7 linked regions of the Sus scrofa genome follow. The main gene of each other region encodes a partner of the protein of the gene in region 7 in a complex. Links are inferred from orthologs where the notes say so. Each region holds a gene or a part of one and is shown on either strand. Other genes may lie near its edges.

The links.
Region 1: TADA3 (region 7) and KAT14 share a complex: the UniProt entries of both Homo sapiens proteins name them as parts of the ADA2A-containing complex. The link is inferred for Sus scrofa from reciprocal best matches to the Homo sapiens genes TADA3 and KAT14.
Region 2: TADA3 (region 7) and TADA2B share a complex: the UniProt entries of both Homo sapiens proteins name them as parts of the TFTC-HAT complex. The link is inferred for Sus scrofa from reciprocal best matches to the Homo sapiens genes TADA3 and TADA2B.
Region 3: TADA3 (region 7) and KAT2A share a complex: the UniProt entries of both Homo sapiens proteins name them as parts of the STAGA transcription coactivator-HAT complex. The link is inferred for Sus scrofa from reciprocal best matches to the Homo sapiens genes TADA3 and KAT2A.
Region 4: TADA3 (region 7) and TADA2A share a complex: the UniProt entries of both Homo sapiens proteins name them as parts of the ADA2A-containing complex. The link is inferred for Sus scrofa from reciprocal best matches to the Homo sapiens genes TADA3 and TADA2A.
Region 5: TADA3 (region 7) and MBIP share a complex: the UniProt entries of both Homo sapiens proteins name them as parts of the ADA2A-containing complex. The link is inferred for Sus scrofa from reciprocal best matches to the Homo sapiens genes TADA3 and MBIP.
Region 6: TADA3 (region 7) and SUPT7L share a complex: the UniProt entries of both Homo sapiens proteins name them as parts of the STAGA transcription coactivator-HAT complex. The link is inferred for Sus scrofa from reciprocal best matches to the Homo sapiens genes TADA3 and SUPT7L.

The regions. Positions count from the first base shown.
Region 1 is NC_010459.5:26,498,457-26,501,956, forward strand, and holds part of KAT14 (cysteine-rich protein 2-binding protein), read left to right. Parts: intron 1-336; coding exon 337-753; intron 754-868; coding exon 869-1,437; intron 1,438-3,500. UniProt on the Homo sapiens protein: Component of the ATAC complex, a complex with histone acetyltransferase activity on histones H3 and H4. May function as a scaffold for the ATAC complex to promote ATAC complex stability. Has also weak histone acetyltransferase activity toward histone H4.
Region 2 is NC_010450.4:3,818,114-3,821,613, reverse strand, and holds part of TADA2B (transcriptional adapter 2-beta), read left to right. Parts: intron 1-3,315; coding exon 3,316-3,500. UniProt on the Homo sapiens protein: Coactivates PAX5-dependent transcription together with either SMARCA4 or GCN5L2.
Region 3 is NC_010454.4:20,641,493-20,644,728, forward strand, and holds part of KAT2A (histone acetyltransferase KAT2A), read left to right. Parts: intron 1-212; coding exon 213-319; intron 320-512; coding exon 513-623; intron 624-708; coding exon 709-848; intron 849-932; coding exon 933-1,141; intron 1,142-1,377; coding exon 1,378-1,504; intron 1,505-3,236. UniProt on the Homo sapiens protein: Protein lysine acyltransferase that can act as a acetyltransferase, glutaryltransferase, succinyltransferase or malonyltransferase, depending on the context.
Region 4 is NC_010454.4:38,873,702-38,877,955, forward strand, and holds the start of TADA2A (transcriptional adapter 2-alpha), read left to right. Parts: upstream 1-1,454; 5' UTR 1,455-1,554; intron 1,555-1,555; exon of another isoform or gene 1,556-1,695; intron 1,696-1,879; exon of another isoform or gene 1,880-2,079; intron 2,080-4,254. Other genes in the region: ACACA (acetyl-CoA carboxylase 1), read right to left, coding at 851-870. UniProt on the Homo sapiens protein: Component of the ATAC complex, a complex with histone acetyltransferase activity on histones H3 and H4. Required for the function of some acidic activation domains, which activate transcription from a distant site. Binds double-stranded DNA.
Region 5 is NC_010449.5:63,657,732-63,662,022, forward strand, and holds the start of MBIP (MAP3K12-binding inhibitory protein 1), read left to right. Parts: upstream 1-1,491; 5' UTR 1,492-1,576; coding exon 1,577-1,705; intron 1,706-4,291. UniProt on the Homo sapiens protein: Inhibits the MAP3K12 activity to induce the activation of the JNK/SAPK pathway. Component of the ATAC complex, a complex with histone acetyltransferase activity on histones H3 and H4.
Region 6 is NC_010445.4:111,538,170-111,541,669, forward strand, and holds part of SUPT7L (STAGA complex 65 subunit gamma), read left to right. Parts: coding exon 1-12; intron 13-1,225; coding exon 1,226-1,488; 3' UTR 1,489-3,500.
Region 7 is NC_010455.5:66,073,473-66,076,972, forward strand, and holds part of TADA3 (transcriptional adapter 3), read right to left. Parts: intron 2,499-3,500; coding exon 2,248-2,498; intron 2,130-2,247; coding exon 2,024-2,129; intron 791-2,023; coding exon 649-790; intron 554-648; coding exon 450-553; intron 1-449. UniProt on the Homo sapiens protein: Functions as a component of the PCAF complex. The PCAF complex is capable of efficiently acetylating histones in a nucleosomal context. The PCAF complex could be considered as the human version of the yeast SAGA complex.

The sequences.
Region 1 (3,500 bases), on a different chromosome or scaffold from region 7:
AAATTTTTAATGAGCTTTAAAGAATTTTAAACAGGCGTTCTTGTAGTGGCTCAGCAGAAGGGAATCTAACCAGTATCCATGAGGCTGCAGGTTCGATCCCTGGCCTCACTCAGTGGGTTAGGGATCTGGCTTTGCTGAGAGCTGTGGTGTAGGTTACAGATGCAGCTTAGATCCTTTGTGGCTGTGGCTGTGGTATAGACTGGCAGCTGTAGCTCCAGTTCGACCCCTGGCCTGGGAACTTCCATAAGCTGCAGGTTCAGCCCTAAAAAGCAAAAAAAAAAAAAAAAAAAAAAAGAGAAAGAAAAAAAAAATAGATATTTTATTCTTTTCTTGCAGCCTCAAAACCAACTTTAGATCCCATCATTACTGTTGAGGGACTTAGGAAACGGGCAAGTCGGAATCCTGTGGAATCTGCCATGGAATTGAAAGAGAAAAGGTCTCGGACTCAGGAAGCAAAGGACATCAGAAGAGCCCAGAAGGAGGCGGCTGGCTTTCTGGACCGGAGCACCTCATCCACCCCCGTAAAATTTGTAAGCCGAGGCCGCAGGCCAGATATGATCCTGGAAAAAGGAGAAGTGATCGACTTTTCTTCCCTGAGCTCCTCCGACCGCACCCCACTGACAAGCCCATCTCCTTCTCCGTCTCTGGATTTCTCTGCCCCTGGGACCCCCGCCTCCCACTCAGCCACACCCAGCCTGCTGTCAGAAGCTGATCTGATTCCAGATGTGATGCCGCCACAAGCCTTGTTTCACGGTAAGACCAACGGTTCTCAGGTTCTGTGTTGTGTGTGGGCCTCCATGTCAGTGGGTCCGCTCCCCCTCGTGGGTGGTGGGCCTGCATTTTCCCTCCTCTTTTCTGTTGCACACAGATGATGATGAGCTGGAAGGCGACGGCGTCATAGACCCTGGGATGGAGTACGTCCCGCCCCCTGCCTGCTCTTCCGCCTCAGGGACAGGGGTCGGGGGCAGAAAGAAGGTCAGGGCCCCTGAGCAGATAAAGCAGGAGGTGGAAAGTGAGGAGGAGAAGCCCGACAGGATGGACATTGATAGTGAAGACACAGACTCCAACACATCCCTGCAAACGAGGGCTCGAGAGAAGAGGAAGCAGGCGCTGGAGAAGGACCGTAAGCCCAAAGGGCCCAAGTTCACCCCTGTGAGCATCTACGAGGAGAAGCTGCTCCTCAAGCGCCTGGAAGCCTGTCCTGGTGCCGTGGCCATGACCCCAGAGGCCCGGCGGCTGAAGCGGAAGCTGATCGTCAGGCAGGCAAAGCGGGACCGAGGGTTACCGCTCTTTGACTTGGATCAGGTTGTCAATGCGGCGCTTCTCTTAGTGGATGGGATTTATGGGGCCAAAGATGGAGGAGTTTCCAGGCTTCCAGCTGGACAAGCCACATACAGGACAACCTGTCAGGACTTCAGAATCCTTGACCGGTACCAGGTGAGTTTTGGCCACACTCCCTGACTCCTGGGGCTGCTGCTCCATGGAGCACGTGCAGGAATGCAGGACAGAGCAAGAGAGAGAAATACAGAAATGACTGGGTTTGGGAGTTCCCTGGTGGCCTTGAGGTTAGGGATCTGGTATTGTCACTGCTATGGCAAGCAACTTCCACATGCTGAGGGTGTGGCCAAAAAAAAAAAAAAATGGCTGGACAGTATTTTTTTTTTAATTGTCCAATGTCCCTTAGTATATCTGAGTTTGGTTCTTTTGTCTTCCTTTTGGGGATTTTGGACAGAACCTAGACTCTGTATCTTTTAGCTGCTGAGGGTGGCTGTACATGGCGCTGATTGACAGGTTTGTTAGGACAGTGCACTAGACACAGCTGAGCATTAGTGAAGGAGTGTGGACATCTGTGTCATCGGGAGACACCCTAAGAAAACAGTAGCCAGGGTCAGCATGGCTGGAAGACCTCGGTGGAACCCTGTCTGTGCTCTCGGGAACAGTGCTTATTACTAACCAGTTAATCAGATTAACTTGTTTTGCTAATATGATGGCTGAAAATGAAATCTTGTTTTTTATTCATGTTTCTTTGGTTACAGGTGAAGTTAAACATTTTCCCTGTTTCCTGGTTGTCTGAGAATTGCTTATTTTGATTATTTCACGTTTTCCTATCTTCTTTGGGAACTAGTTGGATCTGGTCTCATTGCCTGTCTTTATTGCCAGTGTTCTGATGCTGTTCAGTGATGTACTGTGTGGGGCTTTTCTTTTCTGCTGCTGGGCTTTGGTATATGGCTCTTTCCATATGAAACGCTCCTTCTTGAGTTCCAGAATTTCCTAGCTTCTCTTTGCTCTGCTCCGTCTGTTAGGAGCACCCCTCTCATTTGGATGTTGGACCCTGGGGTTGGCAAGCCTTTTCTGCAGAGGGTCAGATAGTAAGCAGTTTTGGCTTTGCAGGCCAGCACTGCCATATGGTATGAAATCAGCATAGATGGTAACAGTGAGTGGGTGTGGTTCTAACACAGGTTGGATTTTTTTTTAATTTATTTTTTTATTACTCACCGAGTTTATTACATTTATAGTTGTACAATAATCATCACAATCCAATTTTATAGGCTTTCCAACACACAACCCCAGTGCATCCCCCACCCCCCGAACTATCTCCTTTGGAAAGCATAAGTTTTTCAAAGTCTGTGAGTCAGTATCTGTTCTGCAAAGAAGTTCAGATTCCACATGTCAATGAAAGCATTTGATGTTGGTGTCTCATTGTATGACTGACTTCACCTAGCATGATAATTTCTATGGCCATCCATGTTGCTAAAGATGCCGGTATTTCGTTCCTTTTAATGGCTGAGTAATATTCCGTTGTGTATATGTACCACACCTTCTTGATTCACTCTTCTGTCGATGGACATTTAGGTTGTTTCCGTGTCTTGGCTATTGAAAATAGTGCTACCATGAACATCGGAGTACATGTGTCTTTGTGAGTCATGGTTTTCTCTGGATAGATGCCCAGGAGTGGGATTGCTGGATCAAATGGTAGTTCTATTTTTAGTTTTCTGAGCAATCTCCATACTGTTTTCCACAGTGGTTGCACCAATTTACAATCCCACCAACATTTTAGCAGGGTTCCTTTGTCTCCACACCCTCTGCAGCACTTATTGGTTATAGACTTTTTGATGATGGCCGTTCTGGCTGGTATAAGGTGGTACCTCATAGTGGTTTTGATTTGCATTTCTGTAATCATGAGTGATGTTGAACATCTTTTCATGTGTTTTTTGGCCATCCGTATGTCTTCTTTGGAGAACTGTCTGTTTAGATCTTCTGCCCATCTTTGGATGGGGTTATTTGTTTTTTTGGTGTGGAGCTGCAGAAGGTGTTTATAAATTTTGGAGATTAATCCCTTGTCAGTCGATTCATTTGCAAAGATTTTCTCCCATGCTGTGGGTGTCTTTTTGTGTTGTTTAGGGTTTCCTTTGCTGTGCAGGAACTTTTAAGTTTGATTAGGTCCCATTTGTTTATTTTTGTTTTTACTGTCATGATTCTAAGAGGTGCATCTGAGAAGA
Region 2 (3,500 bases), on a different chromosome or scaffold from region 7:
TGTGCAGTGGGTGTGGCCCTAAAGAGACCAAAAAGAGCGTTAGGTCATCCCCCTCCTTGAGGCTGCGCCTTGGCAGTTAGGGTCTTGTGTGCTTTCCTGGGCCTTTCTCACTAGTCTTTAGGCTCGTGTTGTGGTCCCTGGGGGACGAGTAGCTGACGGCCAGTCTCTCCTGACAGTGGCCTTCTTGAGGCGGTGGCTAAGGTTGATTGCTGATGGGGGTTCCTGGTGACAGGTCGCTAGCCCCTGTGACTTGTGGCTTCATAGATCCCCTTAACCCGGGTCCATCTGGAGCCGGGGTCCCCTCTGTTACCTAGAGAGGAGCCAGATCACTGAGGTCAGTGCCGCGTCCGCAGCTGCCGGGCCTGCTCGCCTGGCGGGGCAGGGAACCCAGGCTGTGTGCGTGGACGGGGAGGCGGCACCGCGGCAGCGTGAATGCGCACAGACCGAGCCGTGGCGCTTGTGAAGCCCTGGGCGTGTTAGCTCTGCGCTGGGTGCAACAGAAGAGTCATCCTCTTCCTTCTTCTGGCTGCCCCCACCGGCCGGCGTGGGGACACTCCCGCCAGGGATCAAGTCCAAGCCGCAGCTGCTCCCTGCCCCGCTGCTGCGCCGACGCCGCGTCCTTAACTGGCTGTGGCACATCGAGTAGAAGAGCCGTCGTCTCTTTTAAGCCGTCTGTTTTACTGTTTTCCTTTAAATATTTTGAGTGAGAATCTTAGAGCGTCGAGGCAGAATTTACCTTTAAACACGTTTAGTTTTGCTCAGAAGAGTTAAAAAACAGTACCCCCAGTGGCCGTATCCCTCGCTCAGCGCCGCACGGGCAGGAAGCGGACGTTCCATCGCGAGCAGAAGCAGGAGCTCACGCGCAGACCCACAGACAGGGAGGGGGCCCGCCACCCCCGGTGACACGTTGCAACATCTCCCCGGTCCGCACACGACTTTGCGTGTCTCTGACCAGACACACGTCTTAATCGGGTCTGGCTGCCGTGCTCTGCTGATCCCGGGAGCCACGTCCTGGCCTCGCAGAGGGTGGACCAGGGTCCCCTCCTGCTGCTTCGCCCTGGTTGGGATTTTTCCTTAGTTTGAAGGGTGGGCAGTGCATCCATAAAGTTGAGAAGGCTAAGTCATAAAAAGGTGTGAGTGATGTACCCAACCCCGCCCGATGCCCTGGGTACTGTCCTTGGAAAGAGTCTGAGGCGCCGCCAGCACAGCCCCTGTGGCCCCGTTTTGGCACAAGGGTGGCCACGCGTGCTCCCACTTCTGCGGCGTGGTTTCAGCTGCCTGGTGTGCCGGAATGAACCTGCGTGAGGACGCACGTGCTCCCTGGCTTCCTTGCTGCCTCCATCCTCTGCTCTCCGTTCCCAGAGGGTCGGGATGGACAAATGAATGAAGGTACCTGGCTGTGGTCACATGCGACCTGGCCATCCAGGACCCTGTTCTCTGTGGCTTCGCATGCCCCCCCGCTGCGTGGTGCTCTGAGCACCTGGTGGTTTCTGGAGAGCAGGCCGCTGAGGCTCAGGGTGGACAGCAGACCTGTCAGGAGGGCAGACCTCTCACGGCAGGTCTGCGCCGGACCAGGGATGGGGCCAAGACCTGGGGCCCAAATTCCTGAGCGTGCAGCCCAGGATGGGTGCAGGGGCGTGGGGAGAAGCCGCGGGGCAAGCTCGCCTCGCCCCTGGCTGCCCTCCTGGCGCCTGCAGCTTTGAGTGGGTGCCGGCTGGTGAGCGCATCCGTTCCCCCCGTCCCAGCTCCTTGCAGGGGCTCCTTGGCCCCGCGGTGTGGGGGCAGGAAGAGTATTAAGTCCCCCAGCGCCTCAGCAGCGCCACGAGGGGGGCCTTTTGGGGGAACAGCCTCCTGTGGCTCCATAACTCTGAGGACTTGCGGATCTGAGGTGGGAGTGGCCTGCCTGGGTCACAGAGTGACAGTGGCTGCTGGGTTTGGTGACTTGCTTTTGGTTTTTGGACCAGATGCTCCCTGGAAGGGATAGCGACGCACTTGGTGCTCACCGTGACTTTTAAAGAGGAAACCGTGCAGCCAGTCCACCTCCACGAGGCAGAGTCGAGTGTCAGCTTCTCCCCTTCTCCCTTCCTGGTGCTCAGAGGCCTCTGGGGTCAGGCCCTGCCCTGCTTCTGTGTTCGGGGCCTCTAAGCCCCACCCTGCGCAGGCCCCCTGGAGGGAAGAGGCCGCTGAGGCCCCGCGACGCCGGGCTGGTCACTGTGCCACGAATCCTTCCCTCCCCGCGGTGCCCAGCTTGTCAGCACGTTCAGCCCGAGGGGACTGGCTGGGTTCCCGTATGGCCTTCGAGGGGTGCAGAGACCACCCCGATCTCAGTCGGGGGTGAGCGATTCTGGGGCGGCAGGGAGCCTGTGCCGGAGCGGGGAGGGCAGAGAGGGGGCCGAGCGAGGCAGGTGGGGTGCTGCGCGGCCGCCGGGGGGAATGAGTGCGCATTTTGGGCAGTCACTTTCTGAAGTGGCTTTAGCGGTTGACTTAAGGAAGAGGCCTCTTGGCAGAAGGAAAGAGTGAGGGAGTTGTACAATTTCCTCCCATTAATAACCCTGTGTTCGCGGGTTACCTTCTGGAGGGATGCGTGCTTGCGGCCTGGGGCGGGTTTCCAGCTGCCTGCCGGACCGTGGGGGCTGCTAGAAGGGATGGCTCTCCTCCCCCTTTAAAAGGCTCTTTCCTGGAGTTCCCATCGTGGCTCAGTGGGTAATGAATCCGACTAGGAACCATGAGCATCCATGGGAACCATGGGTGAAGGATCTGGCGTTGCCGTGAGCCGGGGTGTAGGTCCCAGATGCAGCTCGGATCCCGCGTTGCTGAGGCTCTGGCGTAGGCCGGCAGCTACAGCTCTGATTTGACCCCTAGCCTGGGAACCTCCCTACGGTGGGAGCGGCCCTAGAAAGACCAAAATAAATAAAAAAATAAAAGTCTCTTTCCTAGTCATCTGACTGCCACCTAGGAAAGGGACATGCTGCTGGCTCTTGGATCTGAGGGGGGTCAAAGACAGAGCCTCGGCCCTTCCGTGGGCAGGTTTGCAGGAGGGAAGAGGAAGTGGCCTCTTGGACTGGTCCTGACTGAGCTCGCGCTTGTCTTGCTCCTGTCTGGATCCCCACTGGGTCCAGTGGATCTCGGGAGGCTCCTTCCAGCTCGGAAATCCTCGAGATCCCATCTGCGCGCCGGGGAGAACCGTGCTTGAGTGTCTTTGGGGAGGTGGCCATAATGACGTCATAAAGTAGTTCAGGGGACCCTGTGCAAAAATGTTAAAGGAATTTGCGCCTCCCCTGACTCTGGAATGACCTCTGCGCTTTGTCGTTGTAGGAAGACATGGCTGCTCACGTGGGCGCTTCCCGGACCCCCCAGGAAGTGATGGAGCATTACGTAAGCATGTACATCCACGGCAACCTGGGGAAAGCCTGCATCCCTGACACCATCCCCAACCGGGTGACAGACCACACCTGCCCCAGTGGAGGCCCCCTGTCTCCCAGCCTCACCACCCCCTTGCC
Region 3 (3,236 bases), on a different chromosome or scaffold from region 7:
TTCTGATCTGGATCATTCTGTTGCCCTCCCTTCAGTGAGGGGCTCCCAGAAATTGCAGGGGGCTGTGCCTCCTCATCTGAAGGCAGAGGCCGTCTCTGTTCTTAGGCGCCAGTTCCCTGAGGGCAGCCTCCAGTCCCTCCAGTGTCTGTCCCAGGCTGCTCCCTTGGTTGGAGGATGGAGCTGTGGGACAGACTGTGCCTCTCCCCCGCCAGATTCCTGTCCATGCTGGAGGAGGAGATCTACGGGGCAAACTCTCCGATCTGGGAGTCGGGCTTCACCATGCCGCCCTCGGAGGGAACCCAGATGGTGCCCCGGCCGGGTATGTGCCGTGTGCGGCCGGCCGGGCTCCGCAGGCTCTCGGCTTGGCCCTCCCCGCCTCTGTGGAGGAGGGGCTGTGCGTGGCGGCAGTGGGGAAGCACGGGAGGGCTCGGCCGTGGGTGGGAGAGTCCACCTCCCTTTGCAAGATGCGCCAGCGCCTTCGCTCTCCATCCTCTGGTTTTTTCGTGTCTCAGCTACAGTCAGTGCCGCGGTTGTTCCCAGCGCCCCCATCTTCAGCCCCACCATGGGTGGGGGTGGCAACAGCTCCTTGAGCCTGGACTCCGCAGGAGCCGAGCCCATGCCAGGTGGGTACTTGACCCCTGACCTCCGTCCTCGTCCCCCCCTCCCCCAACTTCTGCTCTCCCCGGGAGACCTTGTCAACCTCCTCAGCAGGCGAGAAGAGGAAGCTCCCCGAGAACCTGACCCTGGAGGATGCCAAGCGGCTCCGTGTGATGGGCGACATCCCCATGGAGCTGGTCAACGAGGTCATGCTCACTATCACGGATCCTGCTGCCATGCTGGGGCCCGAGGTGGGCCGCCTGGCTTCCTGACCGGTCGGGGAGGGGGCCTCGCCACCTGAGCCCCCTGCTTACCGCCCCTCCTCTGGCGCCCAGACGAGCCTGCTGTCGGCCAATGCAGCCCGGGACGAGACGGCCCGCCTGGAGGAGCGCCGTGGCATCATCGAGTTCCACGTCATCGGCAACTCGCTCACGCCCAAGGCCAACCGGCGGGTGTTGCTGTGGCTGGTGGGGCTGCAGAATGTCTTCTCGCACCAGCTGCCGCGCATGCCCAAGGAGTATATCGCCCGCCTCGTCTTTGACCCGTACGTCCCCAGGAGAGCCCAGCGCTGCCATGCCCAGGCACCTCCGCTTAGGCTTCTCCACTGCACTCGTGCATGCACGCACGCGCGCAGACACACACACACTCCTCTCTCCAACCCTGGGCACGTTTTGCTCCTTAGTTCCCAGCACTGAGTATAGCTCAGGCCTCCAGAGCTGCGGGGTCCTGGGGAGTATCTGGGGTCAGGTAGGGCCTGTGACCTGACACCTCTCCCTTCAGGAAGCACAAGACTCTGGCCTTGATCAAGGACGGGCGAGTCATTGGTGGGATCTGCTTCCGCATGTTTCCCACCCAGGGCTTCACGGAGATTGTCTTCTGTGCTGTCACCTCAAATGAGCAGGTCAAGGTGAGTCCATGCCCCTGGCCCCAGCTCCATCCCACCACCTGCTTCTTCATCTGGATCCCGTCATCCCACCCTCCTTTAATGGCCAGGCAGTTCCTCACCCTCCCACAAGGTGGCAGTTGTGGTTGATGACGGAATCAAGGAAACACCCGTTGACAAATGGAGCCCAAGAATCAGTTACACTTCTGTTTCCTTCTAGTTGGGTTTTTTTTTTCCTTTCTTTTTTCTTTTCTTTTCTTTTTTTTTTTTTAGGGCCACACCTGCGACATACAGAAGTTCCCAGGCTAGGGGCTGGACAGAGCTACAGCTGCCGGCCTACACTGCAGCTTGTGCCAATGCCAGATCCTTAACCCAATGAGCGAGGCCAGGGTTCAAACCCTCATCCTCATGGATCCTAGCCTGTTTCTTAACCCACTGAGCCACATCGGGAACTCCCTCATAGTATTTTGTTGTTGTTGTTGTTGTTGTTGCTATTTCTTGGGCTGCTCCCGCAGCATATGGAGGTTCCCAGGCTAGGGGTTGAATCGGAGCTGTAGCCACCCGCCTACGCCAGAACCACAGCAACGCAGGATCCGAGCCGCGTCTGCGACCTACGCCACAGCTCACGGCAACGCCGGATCGTTAACCCACTGAACAAGGGCAGGGACCGAACCTGCAACCTCATGGTTTCTAGTCGGATTCGTTAACCACTGCGCCACGACGGGAACTCCCCTCATAGTATTTTTGAGGTAAAACTGACCCATAGGACTGTGTGAGTTTAGGGTGTGCAGCATGGTGATTTGAGTCATATGCGTTTTGAAATGATTACCACAGTAAGTTTAGTGAACGTCCATCATCTCATATAGATACAAAATTAAAGGAATAGAAAAAATATTCTTTCTTTGTGATAAGAACTCTTCGGATTTATTTAATTTATTATTATTTTTTTTTGCCTTTTCTCGGGCCACTCCCACGACATATGGAGGTTCTCAGGCTAGGGGTCAAATCGGAGCTGTACCCACCGGCCTACACCACAGCTGCAGCAACACAGGATCTGAGCTGAGTCTGTGACCTATACCACAGCTCATGGCAACGCCGGATCCTTAACCCACTGAGCAAGGGCAGGGATCAGGGATCGAACCTGCAACCTCATGGTTCCTAGTCAGATTCATTAACCACTGAGCCACGACAGGAACTCCTCTTCAGATTATAGTAACACTTTTTTTTTTGTCTTTTGTCTTTTTTGGGGCTGCACCCATGGCACATGGAGGTTCCCAGGCTAGGGGTCCAGTCAGAGCTGTAGCCGCCGGCCTACACCACAGTCGCAGCAATGCAGGATCCAAGCCAAGTCTTCAACTTTCACCACAGCTCACGGCAATGCTAAATCCTTTACTGAGCGAGGCCAGGGATCGAACCGTCCTCATGGATGCTAGTTGGGTTCGTTAACCTCTGAACCATGATGGGAACTCCTACAGCAACACTTTTGAGTGGATCTGTATGTCCTTCATCAGAAGAACTTTTACTTGACATTGCGGAGTTAATAAGTTTTACAACAGCCCTGAGCTGGGTGGGTGATAATTCTGGTTTCTGTCCTTTATTGTTACAACAGACCCCCTAGTAGGATCCCTAGTTGTCCAGTTTTACAGATCTGAACAGGTCTGCATGGTGCCTCCTTGATCCTGATGTGTGCAGAAGTCACTGTCTCTGGGGGTTCAGATGCTGCGATGAGTGGAGTTCCCCCTCCCCCACCCAGTTC
Region 4 (4,254 bases), on a different chromosome or scaffold from region 7:
TTCACACAGCTGCCTCCCCCATTTAATGATTAGATTTCTGCTTATGATTAAGAGGACTTCCTTGTCTACTGCATCCAACAGAGTGTCCCCACATCACTCTTATCCCTTTATCCTGATTTTTTTTCCATAAAAATTGCCACATTACTGGGCATTATCTATTATATACTATGTGTATTGCTTATTGTCTAAATATTGCTTATTGTCTACCTCCTCCACGATGAGGCAGAAACTTTGTTTTGTTCACCGAATTCCCAGCACCTAGAACTGGTATCTACTCATTAAAAATTTGATAAATGAAAATAGATTTCCAGGGTATATCAAATGTAAAACTACTTTATATTTTTTGAATGAAGTATAGAAAAATATCTAGAAGAATGTAAGGCAAAATGGTAACCATTTAACATGGTAGGAGCTGGTTTTCATTTTTTGTTCATGCAAATATTCTTTTTTTTTTAGAACGAACTTGTATGACTAAGAAATGAATAAAAAGGCCACACAGGCAGGTGTAAATGATTTCTCTAAGAGGTTGGGCAAATTGATGGAAGAAAGACTTCTAAATAGATGCATGAGCATAATGGCTAAGACAAACCACTGTTTGAATGCCCTTCCCCAACACCATCTAGCTGTGTGAACCCAAGTTATTTACAAGGTAGAGTCTAAAGGTCTTCACCTGGAAAATGGGGATGATAATATTACAAGTGTCTTTTCCATAAGGTTATTTTTGAAGATTAAATGAGACCATGTATGTAAACTCCTTTGTACAATGCCTGGCATGCAATAAATACTCGACAAATGGCAGCTATCATAATAATAATAATTAGCAGTAGTAACAAGAGATGTTGGGACATACCTAGCCCTCAAGACTGACATCAGAGTGGACCACCACATCCTCTCATCATCGCGCCTCAATTTGGGCACCTAAAGCCCAAAGAGAGGATGGTTTTTCCAAAGAAGATAATTTCGACGTTCCAGAAGCATCTGAATCAAACGTACCCCATGTACCCTTGAACCATTCAGGCAGTCTGGTTAATCCATGAGTAGCACTGCAAGACCCGGCCTCGAGGGGGGACCACCACTCGCCGTCCTTGGGCCCAGTCCCTCAGCCTCCATTTCCTTTGAGGCTGCAACAGGGGTGGCAGGAATGTTACAAAACGCAAAAGCGGGGCTGTACCGGCCCGCTCCAGCTCACCGCACTCTGGAGGGGTCAAACGGCAGCACGCATCCGCAAGTCTGCGGCGACGAGCAACGCGCCCCGAGGGAAAAGTGATTACTGGTCCGACTCAAAAGTCTGGCAAACTGCTCAGAGCCCCATCCTCCCAGGCCTCTGCTGGAGGCGGGCGGCGAGCTCTCGGCGAGGTCAGGGGCTGGAGCTGAGAGAGGGGAGGCGGCGAGCGCGCGCCACGCGGCGGGGCCGCGACGGCTGGGGCGGCGCCTGGGCGGAGGCGGCGAGCGCGCGGCCCGCTCGCGCCTGCGCCGCTCGGGAGCGAGCACGCAAAAGCCCGGGCGCGCGCACGGCTGGCGTTTCCTCGGCGCGGAAGAGGGGGACGCGGCGAGGTGAGGCACGAGGCGCTGCGGCACGGGTGGTGGCGTGGTGCGGCGCGAACCCCTCTCGCGGGACGAGGGGGAGAAGGCGTCCTCGAGGTTCCCCGAGGGTGGGGGAGGGCTGCGGACCCCAGCGGCGTCGGGGGCGAGAGGGTGAGTCGGCCCGACTGGCGCGAGGCGGGGGCCACGCCGTGCGGTGGGGGAGGGCGGCGCGTGCCCGGCCCGAGCCCTGGTGCCCCGCCCCGCCGCGAGCCTGGCGACTCCCGCCCCCTGGGCGGTCCTGCTGGGTTCCGGCCTCCGCTTTCCTGACTTTGCGTTGGAGGGCGTAATGCGGCTCACGACAGCGTATGGTTGATGTTACCTGTTGTTCTCAAGTAGGCCTTCCAAATAGATATTTCAGGTTCATTTTAGAGCTGTGCTTGTCTGAGCCTCCAGTAAAATGACTTGCCCAAGATCACAGTTAATAAGGAACAAAATGAGGCTTCGAATCTTGTTTGCAAAACTCCAAGCCTGCCCCTGTCCTCTGAACTGCAGTGAGTGAGTAATCTTCACGTCCCTTCCCTCCTCCCAGTAATTTCTTTGAACAAAGCAGATGTTAATTTGGAGCTAGCACCCAGCCTTTCGTGGGTATTAGCGTCAGAAATGTCTCCTGTGTGAAAAAAAGACGGGGAAAAAAAAGATTCTGCTTATTGCAGTATTGCACTTACAACGTGGAGTGTTCACGAGACTTTATATAAAGTTCCTTACTTGACTATCTCTAGTTGACCTCTGAAGTGACATTGCTATTCACTACGTCTAGGACATTGTGCCAGTAACACAATCTTTTAGCATTTCCTTTCCCTCCTTGAAAAAGCAACATGTCTCTGAAGGTTGTAAGGATTCAGAGATGATCCACATACAGTGGTACCACAGTACCTGGTATATGAGAAAAGTTCAATAAGTTTTGGCCATTATTTTATTATTAAGTGCATGATACCACTTACTAAACTCACTTTTCTTCAGACTCATTTTCCTGGGGCTAGACCAGAGGGAGAACCACCCCAACCTACCCTAAAAAAGACAAGTTCATTGACAGTGTTGTATATTCTTAATGATAAATTATTCTCCAAGCCAAAACTATCCAGTGAAAGAAGTCACTGCAGGAAAACTAAGGATGAATTAACTTTTTTGTAGAATTAGCATTTATTTGTCCATTACATTTTTGTTTATTGAGTTCTTTCTGTGTGGCATTGTGTATGGTACTTTAAGACATACAAATTTGTATTTGATGTAGTTCCTGTTTTCATTTAGGCTAGAAATGGGAAAAATATGCATCCATAAGTAATCTTCACAGAGCAGTGTGAAAAATGCCGGAGAAGGGATAGATAAAAAGCTATGGGGAGGAGTTCCCATCGGGGCTAAGTGGTAAAGAACCCGACTAGTATCTATGAGGTTGTGGGTTCAATCCCTGGTCTCATTCAGTGGGTTTAGGCATTGCCCTTGAGTAATGGTGTAGGTCACAGACATGGCTGGAATCCCACGTTGCTGTGGCATAGGCTGGCAGCTGCAGCTCTGATTCTGTCCTTCGCCTGGGACCCTCCATGTGCTTCAGGTGCAGCCCTAAATTAAAAAAAAAAAAAAAAAAAAAAAGCTATGGGAGGAGTTCCCACAGTGGTGCAATGGGTTAAGGATCTGACATTCCGAAGCTGAGTCGTAGGTCTCAGATGCAGCTTGGGTTTGATTCCTAGCCCTGGGAACTTGCATATCCTGAGAGTGTGGCTGCAAAAGGAAAAAAAAGCTATGGGAGTATAGAAGGTGATATTGGCTTAGTGTGAAATATGAGTTCATTTATGTCTTAATAAAGATACTTTGTACATGGTACTTAACTGTTAAATATTTGTTCAAAGAATAAATTAGTGAACAAAATTTGTCATAATAGATAGGGTTTTTTTAGTTTGTTGTTGTTGTTGCTATTTCTTGGGCCGCTCCCGAAGCATATGGAGGTTCCCAGGCTAGGGGTTGAATCGGAGCTGTAGCCACCGGCCTACACCAGAGCCACAGCAACTCAGGATCCGAGCCGCATCTGCAACCTACACCACAACTCACTGGGCAAGGGCAGGGACCGAACCCGCAGCCTCATGGTTCCTAGTCGGATTCGTTAACCACTGCGCCACGACGGGAACTCCATGGTTTTTTAGTTTTCTAGTGATAAAAGTTCATTCGTATTAAAGTATTTTTGAAAAGATAGAGAAATGGAAAAAAAAAAAAATTTGTGCCATTTTTGGGAATGAGTATCTCAACAACCAGAGCTCATGAACCAGATTCTTTGGCTAGTGAATGACTGAGCTCTAACTGCCCTCTGTCCTTGTATATCTTACAAGATTCAGGTTCTGTAAGAAGAGTTTTAGTTGCTTTAGCTGCTATGGGGGTGGGGGACGGAGTGTTATGATTTGCAACAACCTACTCCCCCAAAGCCGTGTGAAATGTGGGAGAGTCACTTTCCTTCCCTAAGGAAGGAGGGCTGAGGAGAGAAGTGATGCTGCACAGAGAGAACCAGTTGTTGCCTATTAGAAATATATAGCCTTTGTAGAGGGCTTATCATGGGCCAGGTGCCATGGTATATTATTTATGTGGATATTGATTATTTTAATCCTCACAACTCTAGGAAGTAGATATGATTGTATCATATTCATTTCCAGAGGAGGAAACAAGCTTATAGAGATAAAATAATTT
Region 5 (4,291 bases), on a different chromosome or scaffold from region 7:
AAGTGTGTTTCATACCAGGGTCTGAATATCTGAAAAACAAACAAACCAACCCTTTATACCTAGAAGAAAACAAATTATCTGAAACTGGCTGGTAATATGTTATAAAGCAAAAACTTCCAGTTACCCCATTAGAATTATTCTCTAACAAGAGAACTAGAGGCCAGGAAAATACCTTAACATTGCAAAGACTCTTGGATTTAGGTTAACACGGGGAAGAGTAGCTTGAATGGGAAGAAGGTTGCTCAATTTGGGATTAGATATTGTGAAATCTGTTTCTGGATGTCTCTAGGCATAGGCTGGATTATAAACTCTATATCTTGCTGTGAACAAGGGAGCGGACGAGATTACTTAAGATCCTGTCAAGCCTGCTGATCCTTGGAAATGAAAGCCTAATTAAGAGGCTCCCTAGGGACAGGTCAAAGGCATTCTTTTATCTCTACTGCCCCTAATCCAAGTTCCTTGATGGTTTATTCCTCCCCTTTCATTCAGCCTACTCTAAAACTGAAGAATACACATTGTGCAAGTTTCCAACTCTGCTTCTCCTACTGTAAACGCATTAGACAATTAGAATTAAGAATTTTAAATCTTTCATCCCTCATATCTAAACATGATGTTTATTTTTCAAGTGGTTTTGAATAGAGTTTAACATTAAGCATTCGTCTAAACTTTTTTTTTTTTTTCAATTGGACAACAAAATTTTCAATGCTTGACCCCGGAATACTACAGAGCCCTTCAGATATCTTTTAATACAGTTATCTGGATAAATAATAACTTGTTGAATTTTAATTCGGATTTATCTTTATTTTCAAAGATGGTGTTCACGCAATTACTTATTTGGGTTAAATTCCTGTTGGAATCATGTTGACATTGTTTTCTTTGAAACAGTTTTAGATGAGTGTGTATACCATATCACTCAGAGAACAGCAACTATGCAAGTTTTAAAACTTGACAGAATTATTTTGCAGATTTAAAGTAGTATTCCCTTGATAGTAAATGAGGCATAAAAGAGGGGTATTTTGGGGGGGAGGTGGTTATATCCTCCTCTTTCTCTCATGAAAAAAAAGTGATGTTAAATTGTGTATAGACGAAAATGTTCTACCCAATTATGACAATTCTGTGTGTTTTCAGTGTTTAGAAATATGTGTGGATCCACTGCGTCCCTGACCAGCGATCTTTCTAAAGTGCCGTGGTAAAATCTCAACTTTAATTTGGTACTAAAACTCTAACATTTAACTACAAGTTTTCTCTTAGCAACACTCATAATCAACATCTAAGCGTCAAGCTAAGCTTCAAGAAGCTAACTCTCATTAGATAACGACTCCAAATCACCATCTCAAATATTGCAGCAAGCCAAGCCCAGGTTGGCAATCTCTTGCTCACGGTCCTTGAAGGAATGCTGTAGTTGCACCTTATTGGTGCACATGCTTGTCAGTCATGTAGGGAAGGTGGGGTCTTACAGTCTCGCTCTAAATGAGACGCAGTGTGTTTACATCATCGGGGAGCGACGAAGGCAGGAGAGGGAGGGGTGTGTTGTGAGCACACCTTGGTGCTGGTGGGGGTGGCCTACGAAAGTGTCATGGCTGCCGCCGCTGAGCTTAGTCGCGCGACCCTCGGTGACAGGAGCATGGAGCGGAGCTGCAGCCCCAACCTCTCCCAAGAGGTGGTCTGCGAAGTCTTTCGCTCCTTGCATACCCTTGCTGGACAAGTGAGTGGTGGGCTTTGGGAGTAGGGATCTGGGAACCGTCCGGCCCCTCCCCCTCTCCTTTCTCCGGCGGAGGCGGGGGCGGCGGAGGCCTGCGGGGTGTGGGACCCGGCCCAGAATAGCCGAGGCTGGGGGAGGAGCTCGGGCCCGGCCGCCTGTGGTCTAAGTGAGGCTGGCCGCGCGTGGGTTAGTTCAAGACCGGTTGCAGGCTAGATTTCTTTGCAACTCTTCTCCCCAAGAGCGAATGAGGATAGTGTAAGTGAAACCCCGCTAGGAGAGAAACAAGCTCGAAGAGAATGCGTGCGGAAAAGCTGTGAGGGTTTGGGAGGCGCCTAGCGCTGTGGATCCCTTTTCCTCCAATTCATTCATTATAGAAATTGATAGGTTAGTCTACGGCCTGAGATTTCTGGAAAAGCTCCCTCTCCGCCTTTTTTGGGTGATTTACCGTTAGGAGTCAGTTGGGTTTGTTTATTTCTTCTTTCTTTCTGGCTGTTGCTTGCATCTCTTCCCCTTTCAAAACGGGAAGGAAGAGAAAAGGAATTAATTCAACCACTTCTAGTGTTAAGTTGGATAAGTTATCCCTGGTTTATACTGTTTGCATCACAACTGTTGACAAGTTATTAAATATTAACTAGCTTAACTGGCTGATAAATAGCTTTTGTAGAAATATCATTATAGAATCGAACAAATAAAAGTGCTCTTTACTCTGTTCCAGTGAAGTCACTATTTCGTTTCATGATGTAAGATGTAAAGGAAATTTAAAATGCGAACTTGAAAATACCGTTTGTCTGCTTTTAAAAGGAAATCTTTTTTTAAATCTTAGATAGGATTAGGTATTTGTGTGGAAGATAATGGTAACATCCTTTATGAAAATAGAGCGTTTGATTTGTGAAAATTACTTTTAAAAGCCTTCGGTGGATGGATAATCAGTTTTTTAAAAGGTTATTTCAGTATTTTTAAAAATTCTAATATATTCTGACTTAAAAAGAGTATTACTCAAAATTAAATACACAATTTGGTGTAAGCGAATAATTATCAATAGAATCGGCTAAAAGAGTTGTTTTTCAAGGACTTAAATATTTTTTTGAGACAGGGACATTAATATTTCAGTGTCAAGACTTAAAACCTCTAAATGGTTTAAAAGTTTGAGAACTTTCTATGATGTGACTTTGGAACTTTAAGGTTTTTTTTTTTTTATATCCTAATGTCAAGATGAAAGGTTAATGCTCACCTGTAGTTTACAGACTTCCCCCCACTGATGAGATTTTTTTAAATAACATTAAGAAATAATTTAAACATTTTTGAAACAGTTGGCATACTGAATTTTTAAAACTTATTTTAACATTTTAAACATTCAACTATTCTGTAGGAAAAGTATGATTACAAATTATTTATGTCACCTCAAAAATGTTTAAATATTTGGTGAGTTTTATTGACAGTGAAGGAACCATTTATACAAGTGTTGGGGAAAAAAAATCATCTCATCAATTAACTGCTAGCCATTTTGATAATACTCTATATTTTGAGATGTATAAAGATAAGGATGAAAGCCAGAGTACTATACTTATAAAATTGCCCCTAGTGGGAATCATTATTTTTTTTTTGAAACTGGTTTAAGGAATTTCTTTAACTGTATGTTGTAAAATGCCTAGTTCATTCTATATAGTATCATTGTATTATTAGCTCTCCTCAATAGGAAACATAAAATTGAATGTTTAAACAGTATTTTCTATCCTAGATTTCCAGTTTACTAATTTTAACTTTATTACTTGCCTCTGGATTGTCCATTTTACAAGCTGAAGAGTTATTTATTATTAGCTTGGATTTTCATATTTATAAAGTTTTTACTGAAATGCATATTTTAAATGGTCCATATTAATGGCTGACTTATACATTTTCGAGTGAATGTTTTAGAGTTACAAGTTCTATAGCCTAAAAATGCATAGAATTCATATTACTAATAGGGAATTTGTTGAATAATAATTGAATGTATTGGGATAGTTTTAAAGTTAATTTTTAATGTTGTTATATGGTTTTCTTAAAAGACCAAGTATCTTGAATTTCACTTGAAAGCTTACATAATTCTGCTGTATTGAAATGAGACTATGATCCAAACATAAATTAATTTCTATAAGTTACTATTTGGTAAATTTGTTGCTTTGTCTTGGTTGAGGATTTGCATTATCCCAAAATGTATATATAAATTTGTTATAACCAACTATAGATCTCTTTGGAACTGTGAAAGTATAGTTTACTTTCATACATAAGTTGTTGTCTAACAAAATCTTTATAGGCATTAAATTAATTAAGATTAATGTAGCAATCTTAATGTAAAACTTTAGTTAAATTAATATAAACTCATCTGCTAGTGCAGCCTACACAAAACTTAGTTCCTTATGCTTGTCTGATATGGACTTTAAATATTCCTGGTCAAAGGGTGGAAATTTCTTTCATATAGCATTCAATATAGTGCCTTTGTGGGAACTTCATATCTTTTCAGTTTTTTGTACAGTGATTCATTCATCTTTTTGCTATATTGTAATCACAATTCATAAGATCTATATTTGAACTAAAGTAATATATCTTTAT
Region 6 (3,500 bases), on a different chromosome or scaffold from region 7:
CACAGGCTTCAAGTAAGGGAAATCAACTTACCCATTTTGATTCTGGGAGATCTACCAATCTCAGTACTTCTTGCATTTTGGAATCAAATTCAGGAAATGGAAGAGCAAAAGTGGAGATAATGGGCAGGAGGATGGAAAGTCTAAAAACAAATAGCGCTTCACTGATCCAGATACCAGCATTCTCTTTGTAATTAGTAAAGAGAGAACTTGCACAGCTTTGTAGGCATCTTTCCCATAATTCCTAGTTAGGATGTAGATGCAGTAAGTGTTATCCTCTTGATTACCAGTTAATTCAGCTGACCCAGTTTGGGAGGGCTGATGGCCTCCTGTTCTCTGTATTCTGTACTGGTTATTCCTGATGCTTGTACTCAACTGATGAAGACAACTTCCAGATAGAAGTTATTCCAGATGGAATAACGTTAATTGCTCAAGGATGCTTGAATAGTTGGGGGTCTTTCTAAAGTGCTCCCAAACAAATCAGAAGTGAAGGGATTGAAACAGGGCTACCCAGTGACAGGCAGCTGGCCTCCTCTTCCAGACAGACCGTGATTACCTTCAGAACCAGATGACTCCATCCCTAAGTCAATTCGATTGCAAAGTAATCTAGATACTCAGTTATTTACAAATATAAATTGTCATTTCACCAGTGCACAAATAATGCAAATAGCCAGTCCTCCAGAGTGGCATAAACAGAATTAAGCCACATTTTGTAAAGTATTGGGCAGAGAGCCTTTCACCATGAAAGACATAATAACCACAGAACAGTATTGCCAGAACACACGGAGCAAGAGAGCCAAAAAAGAAATTGTTGCAGATGTGGGGTTCATGTCAGGATTCTGTACTGGATCATTAACTTTTCATAACATGAGAGAGGACCAGGGACCCAAACACAAGGCAGGAAAACATGACAGCCTCACCAAAGGGCAGGCAAATCAATGTAACCCCCGATGGAGAGCCCATGGTTGTGCCTGCCTTTGAACCATGAATCTCTCCACTTCCCTTGTTCAGGGAAAATGGAGGTGGATGGGATGGGGTAAAGGAGGGTGAGGAAGTGGAGAAGAAGATATTCAAAGCTGGTAACTTTCTGAGCAAATTCTCCAGCCAAGTAGAGAATCAGAGTGAAACCTGAGCTCAAGGGCCATCGGTTAGCTGTGGGTGGTGTGTGCTTTCTGCTTTGTTCCAGCCTTCCTTACTGCTAGTTAGTTCTATGTTCATCCATTCCTAGGTGCAGAGGCAAATGCTTCCCTTTTTTGGAACCTGGCCCATGTGAAAATGGAGCCTCAGGAGAGTGAAGAAGGCAATGTCTCCGGGCACGGCGTGCTGGGCAGCGACGTGTTTGAGGAGCCAATGTCAGGCATGAGTGAAGCTGGGATCCCCCAGAGCCCCGATGACTCAGACAGCAGCTATGGCTCCCACTCCACTGACAGCTTCATGGGGTCCTCCCCTGTTTTCAACCAGCGCTGCAAGAAGAGGATGAGGAAGATATAAAAGGCAAAGAGGGAGATTTTCTGCCCAGACCTACAAGACCCAACAACAGACCATGATACATTTGGTTTCCGTAAACAGCGATTTGACTCTTCTTCTTAAACACGGTGGATTTTCCTGATTTCAGTGGAACTGGATTTAAACCAAATAAGTTTGCATTTTCCTTTTGCATTCGGTTTTATAGTTTTCTACAACAACCAAGCCACCTTTCACAAACATGATGACGCTGGGGTAGTAATCGAGACAAATCACTGTCCCTGACTGTTGTCTTTACTGTGTGACAAGTGACCTAACTTCTCTAGAGCCATTTCTCTTGCACAACTGAGAATCCTACTGCTTTGACCGACCTTGCAGGGACGTTATGAAGATGGAAATGGTATTAAGCCTCAAAGCTGTGCTTGAACAGACGCACAAGTAAATATATGCTGATGTCAATTTTTTCTTTTAACTTGCCTCACTTTTGGTTCAGGTCTTTGGGAATCCAGTGCTAATGCCTAATAGGAAATAGCTAAACACTGCACAACTCACCTTTTTTCCCAAACTTTTTGCCATCCATGAAGTCTCCTAAAAAATCAGAGGGGTCTGTGGCAAACAGCCTTTTTGCTTATTCAGATAGCACCTCTCCTATCTCGGCCACATAGTCTTTCTCTAGACTTGTGCCATGGATCCCCATTTTTTGTCTTTACTTTCTGATTTCCACTCAGATTTTTTTTTTCACTATGTACATTTTTCAGTTGCTTCTTTCATTTTCTCCTTTGTAAATGAAGCAAACAGGACCTGTCCAAGGACAGGGTTGTGCCATTTTGTTTGTTGCATCGGCTTGGCCATCAGAGGACAGTGGTCCGTTCCTTTGCCAGAACTCTGTATCTGCACGTTGTGCTTCTCCTGGATGGACAGCCTCTAAAAGGATGACAAGATGCACCTTTCTACTTTACAGCATGTCCTGAACAACTTTACTGCTATTACTCACCCGTCATAGTATCTGCCCTGGTTGGCACCTGACAGTCTCAATCAGTATTTATTAAATGATGTGGCACTGGGATGATTAGGAGTAATTAGCAAATGTGTGTATGTTAAATACTGCTGAGGTTTGGTTTGGGGGTGCAGAATACAAGTCTTGTGAGATTTAGGGCACTCCTTTAGTACAGACCAAAAATCAAGGCCCACATTAGAGGGCCTTAAATGTCCCAGGCATTGAGAATAGAGATAAGTGCAACAGCAACAAAATGAGGTTATAATTTAAACTGTTAACAGGTTTGCTAATTGCACATCCTTGGTACATTTTTCTAAATGCTTCCTGTTCCAGGCTTAGCTTCATTTTCCCTTGTTTATGAAAGTACACATCAGGTGGTCAGTTTCCATAAAGTAGCCACCTAGTATTTCATTCATTCACTTAGCAAACATTTATTGAGTACCTACTATGTACTAGGCCATGTGCAAGGATACCTAGATGAGTATTTTTGTCCCTGCCCTTATGGAGGTTATGGCATAAGCTGGACAAGTTCCTCCTTAAGGAAAAAGTATTCAGAGGCACGAAGGGAAAGAAAAAATTGACATCTGACATCAGCATGTATTTACTGTGCAGATGGTTCCTATGAAGAGGCTCAAGTTTTTACACCGGTGGTATTCGTTTAAAATAGAGTATTAAAATTAATACTTCATGGTAAAACAAAATACTTTTATTTTTAGAATGTTTAAATTGGAAGAGAGGCACCAGATGGTCCTTGTCCTGGTTGGGGTACTCTGATAAAGCAGGCCATGTGAGCATTGATACCTGAGATTCACTTGGCCTGGAATTAGTTGCGTTACAGCAGTGTTTCTCAAACTTAGCATGCATCAGAATCCCCTGGAGGCCTTGTTAAACCAGATCGGTAGGCCCCACCCCCACAATTTTTCTGATTTAGGTCCTGAGTGTCCTGTTCGTAGTAACTCCTCAGGTGATGCTGATGCTTCTGGTCCAGAGACCACACTTTGAGAACCACTGAACTGGAATACAGGTTAGGCAGGGATAAAAT
Region 7 (3,500 bases):
GCATAAAGAAAGGGGGCCTAAACCTGGGGTTTGAGTCTTGCTTCTATAAGCTGTGTGTCCTCAAGCAAACAGTTCCCTTTTTTGAACTTCAGTCTTCTTAGGTATAACATGGGGTTAACCACTGTCTTTGCCTTTAACGAGAGGATGTGTAGAAAGTCCTTTGCATAGGCCCTAGCCAACACTCAGCAAAAGTAACTGTGGAGCAGTGGCTACCTTGCGGGGGAGGCTAAGAACTGGGAGGGGCATGAGAGGGGCTTCTAGAATACTGATGATGTTTAATTTTGTGATCTTGAGGTTAGTTGTATAAAGGTGCTCATTTATGAAAATTTATCAAGTTGTACTCTCATGCTGTGTACCTTTAAATGTATAATATGCTCCAATAAAAATTAAAAGTAAAACAATGAAACAGAAGGTAGATACCAGTTCCTTTTTTGAGTTGGGGTGCTCACCTCCACCAAGGCCTGCAGGAGGCGCTGTGTCAGGGCACCAAAGGGGCACCCATCTTCTGGCTGCTCATGCTGGGCCTCAGATTTCTTCAGCAGGGCATCCACGTCTGAGGTGGGCAGAGAAGTGGTAGACAGACAGGTGGGCTTAAGTTCTGGGAACTCAAGTCCTGGCCTGGGGTAGGCAGGGAGGTGAAGGGCTTACCTTTAGTGTCTAGTTCAGTCAGTGGCCCCATAAGGCCTTTCTTCTTGTCAGCCATGGCTGCTGCCCGAGCCCCGTCCTTCTGCTCCTCCAGCAGGTCCTCCTGTGCCCAGCGTTGGGAGTAGTGCTTCCCCAGGGGCGGGATCTGTGGGAGACATCCCACCCGGCCCCAAAGAAGTGAATACGGGCCAGCATGCCTGGGGCGTGCGTGCTCTCTGTGAAGTGGGGATGGCCAACAGACTCTTTGTTCATTCTTTACTCCTTCACTTCTCTGTCTCCCAAGTAGCTCACCCAGGGACAAGGCCTGAGCATGGTACAGGTGAGAAGAGACAAAGGAGATAAAATCTCTACACTCACAGTCTAGTAAGGAAGCCAGGTACAAAAAGAAGTACAACACACACGGAAGACGAAACGGAACAATTTCCAAGTATAAGGTGCAGAATAGTATGTATATGTGGACCATCTCAGGTGACAGCTATTGTCTCCGAGAGAACTAGAGGCCTCAGGGTCAGAAGTGAGAGGGAAATATCTTTTGCGTTGCTTGAATTTATTACTGCTTCTATGGATAACTTTTTCAAATAAATTCTTTAAAAATTTAGGCAAGTGACAGAGGCAAGTCAAGGTGCTGTGGCAGTGCATCTTCTGCTCGGGAATCTGCAAAGGCATTCTGGTGGAAGTAATGTGTGATCAGGGTTTTGAAGGGTGTCAGATTGCCAAGGGGAGAAGAGCATGTGCAGAGGCCCAGAGACCAGCAAGGACCCTGGGGGGGGGTGCTGCTGATAAACACAGCAGTGAGGAGGGGGCGTGGCCAAGGAAACAGGAGAGAGGCGCTGGGACTGTGCCACCATGGACTGAGATGCCTGGACTACTCGATTCTGGGTAACAGGAGCCAGGGAGAGGCCAGAGAGCAGGGTCATGTCATGAGCACATCTGATCATGACAGCTGACCTATTGGAGAGAGCTCCCCTCCAATGCTTCTCTGTATTTTCTACATTTTCTTTAATGGAACCTCTTTTATTTTCCTCATAAAAAAAGTAAACTTTTACACATCAAAAAATTTAAAAAAAAGAATCCCTCTAGAAGGAAGAAAGTGTTAGGCTGTTCAGGTAAAGGCTGATGAAGGCTTGAGCCAAAGAAGGGCAGGTGATGAGAGAAACAGACCTCACTAGGGAAGAGGCCTTAGGTCATGGTGACCATTTACATAGGCTAGAAAGGAGAAGGTGACGTTAGTGCCTGTATGTTGAGGTGGGTTAGCAGAGCAGACAGGAGGCTGGGCAGCACAGGGGAAGGAAGATGATGCAGAGCTTAGGGTCTCAGATTCTGAGGCAACTCTGAGCCCTCTTGTTCTCCACATCTACCTAGGCTTGGGGGTCGCTACCTTGTAATGTTCAGCCTCATCTTCTGGGGGTTTCAGTAGCTCCTCCAGTGTGCGCACCTCCTCACTGGTGATGTCAGCACAGTAGGGCTCCACTGAAGCCCAGAATCTGCAGGGCGAAGCAGAGCCTGAGTGAGGGCCCCTCCCCCACCAACCTCAGCCCTGGGCCCCACCACAGCCTCCAATGCCCGAATCCCGAGGCCCATCTATGTTCTCTGGCCCAGAACCTGTTGGGGGCGTCATTCTTGGGGATACGTGGCACGTCGATAGGGTCATCAGTGAATTCATATTCCTGGATCTTGGGCTGAAGGTTTTTGGATTTGGGTCGCCCAGGGCCAGGGCCCGGCCCATGTCCTGCCTTCCCTTCCAGTTTCTGCTTCTTGGGTTTCCCATGTTTGGGGGGAGCTCCAAGCTCATGGTCTCGACCCAGCTTCAGGAATCGTCGGTCACCTTTCTTATCCTGCCAGTCGGTGAGGATCTGAAATTCACACACTGTCACTGAGAGGGAGAAGGGAAGACACAGGCAATTCGTCCTCCCAGAGAAAAACTGGGATCTAGAACTCAATTAGGCTCCAAGTCTCTCCTTATTCCCTTTATGTCTAGCAAATTCCTACTCATTCTGCAAAACTCAGCTCCTTATCTGTGCCCATCTCACAGGATTTTATTCATATTCTTCTAATCATTCTATTCACTTGTCTATACTGACTCACCTATGTAGCACCCAAGCCAGTTACACAGTGTTTAGCAGGTCAAGCAAAGAGATCACATCTCAGGAAAACATGCTGGGAGTAATTTTTTGGTATAGGAAAGCAAGCTTTCCAGCAAACCTTCTCTTCAAATATCGCCACAACTGGGAAGCCTTCTCTGCATCAGTTACACAGCTTCTTAGATGCTAAAACACAACTGATTATGCCACAGCCCACTCAAAAAGCTTCAATGGATTCCCAGGGACCACAATTTTTTTTTTTTTTTTTTTTTTTGCTTTTTAGGGCCACACCTTTGGCATATGAAGGGTCTCAAGTTAGGGGTCAAATCGAAGCTGCAGCTGCTGCCCTATACCACAGCCATAGCAATGCAGGATCTGAGCTGCATCTGCAACCTACACCACAGCTCATGGCAAAACCAGATCCTTAACCCACTGAGCGAGGCCAGGGATCAAACCTGCACCTCATGGTTACCAGTCAGATTCGTTTCTGCTGCACCATGATGGGAACTCCCACGAGTTAATTTCATTCTTTTTTTTTTTTTTTTTTTGCTTTTTAGGGCTGCACCTGAGGCACATGGGGGTTCCCAGGCTAGGGCTCCAATCAGAGCTACAGCTGCCAGCCGACGCCACAGCCACAGCAACACAGGATTCAAGCCGTGTCTGTGACCTACACCACAGCTCACGGCAACACCAGATCCCCAACCCACTGATGGAGGCCAGGGATTGAACCTGAAACCTCATGGTTCCTAGTCAGATTCATTTCCACTGCGTCAC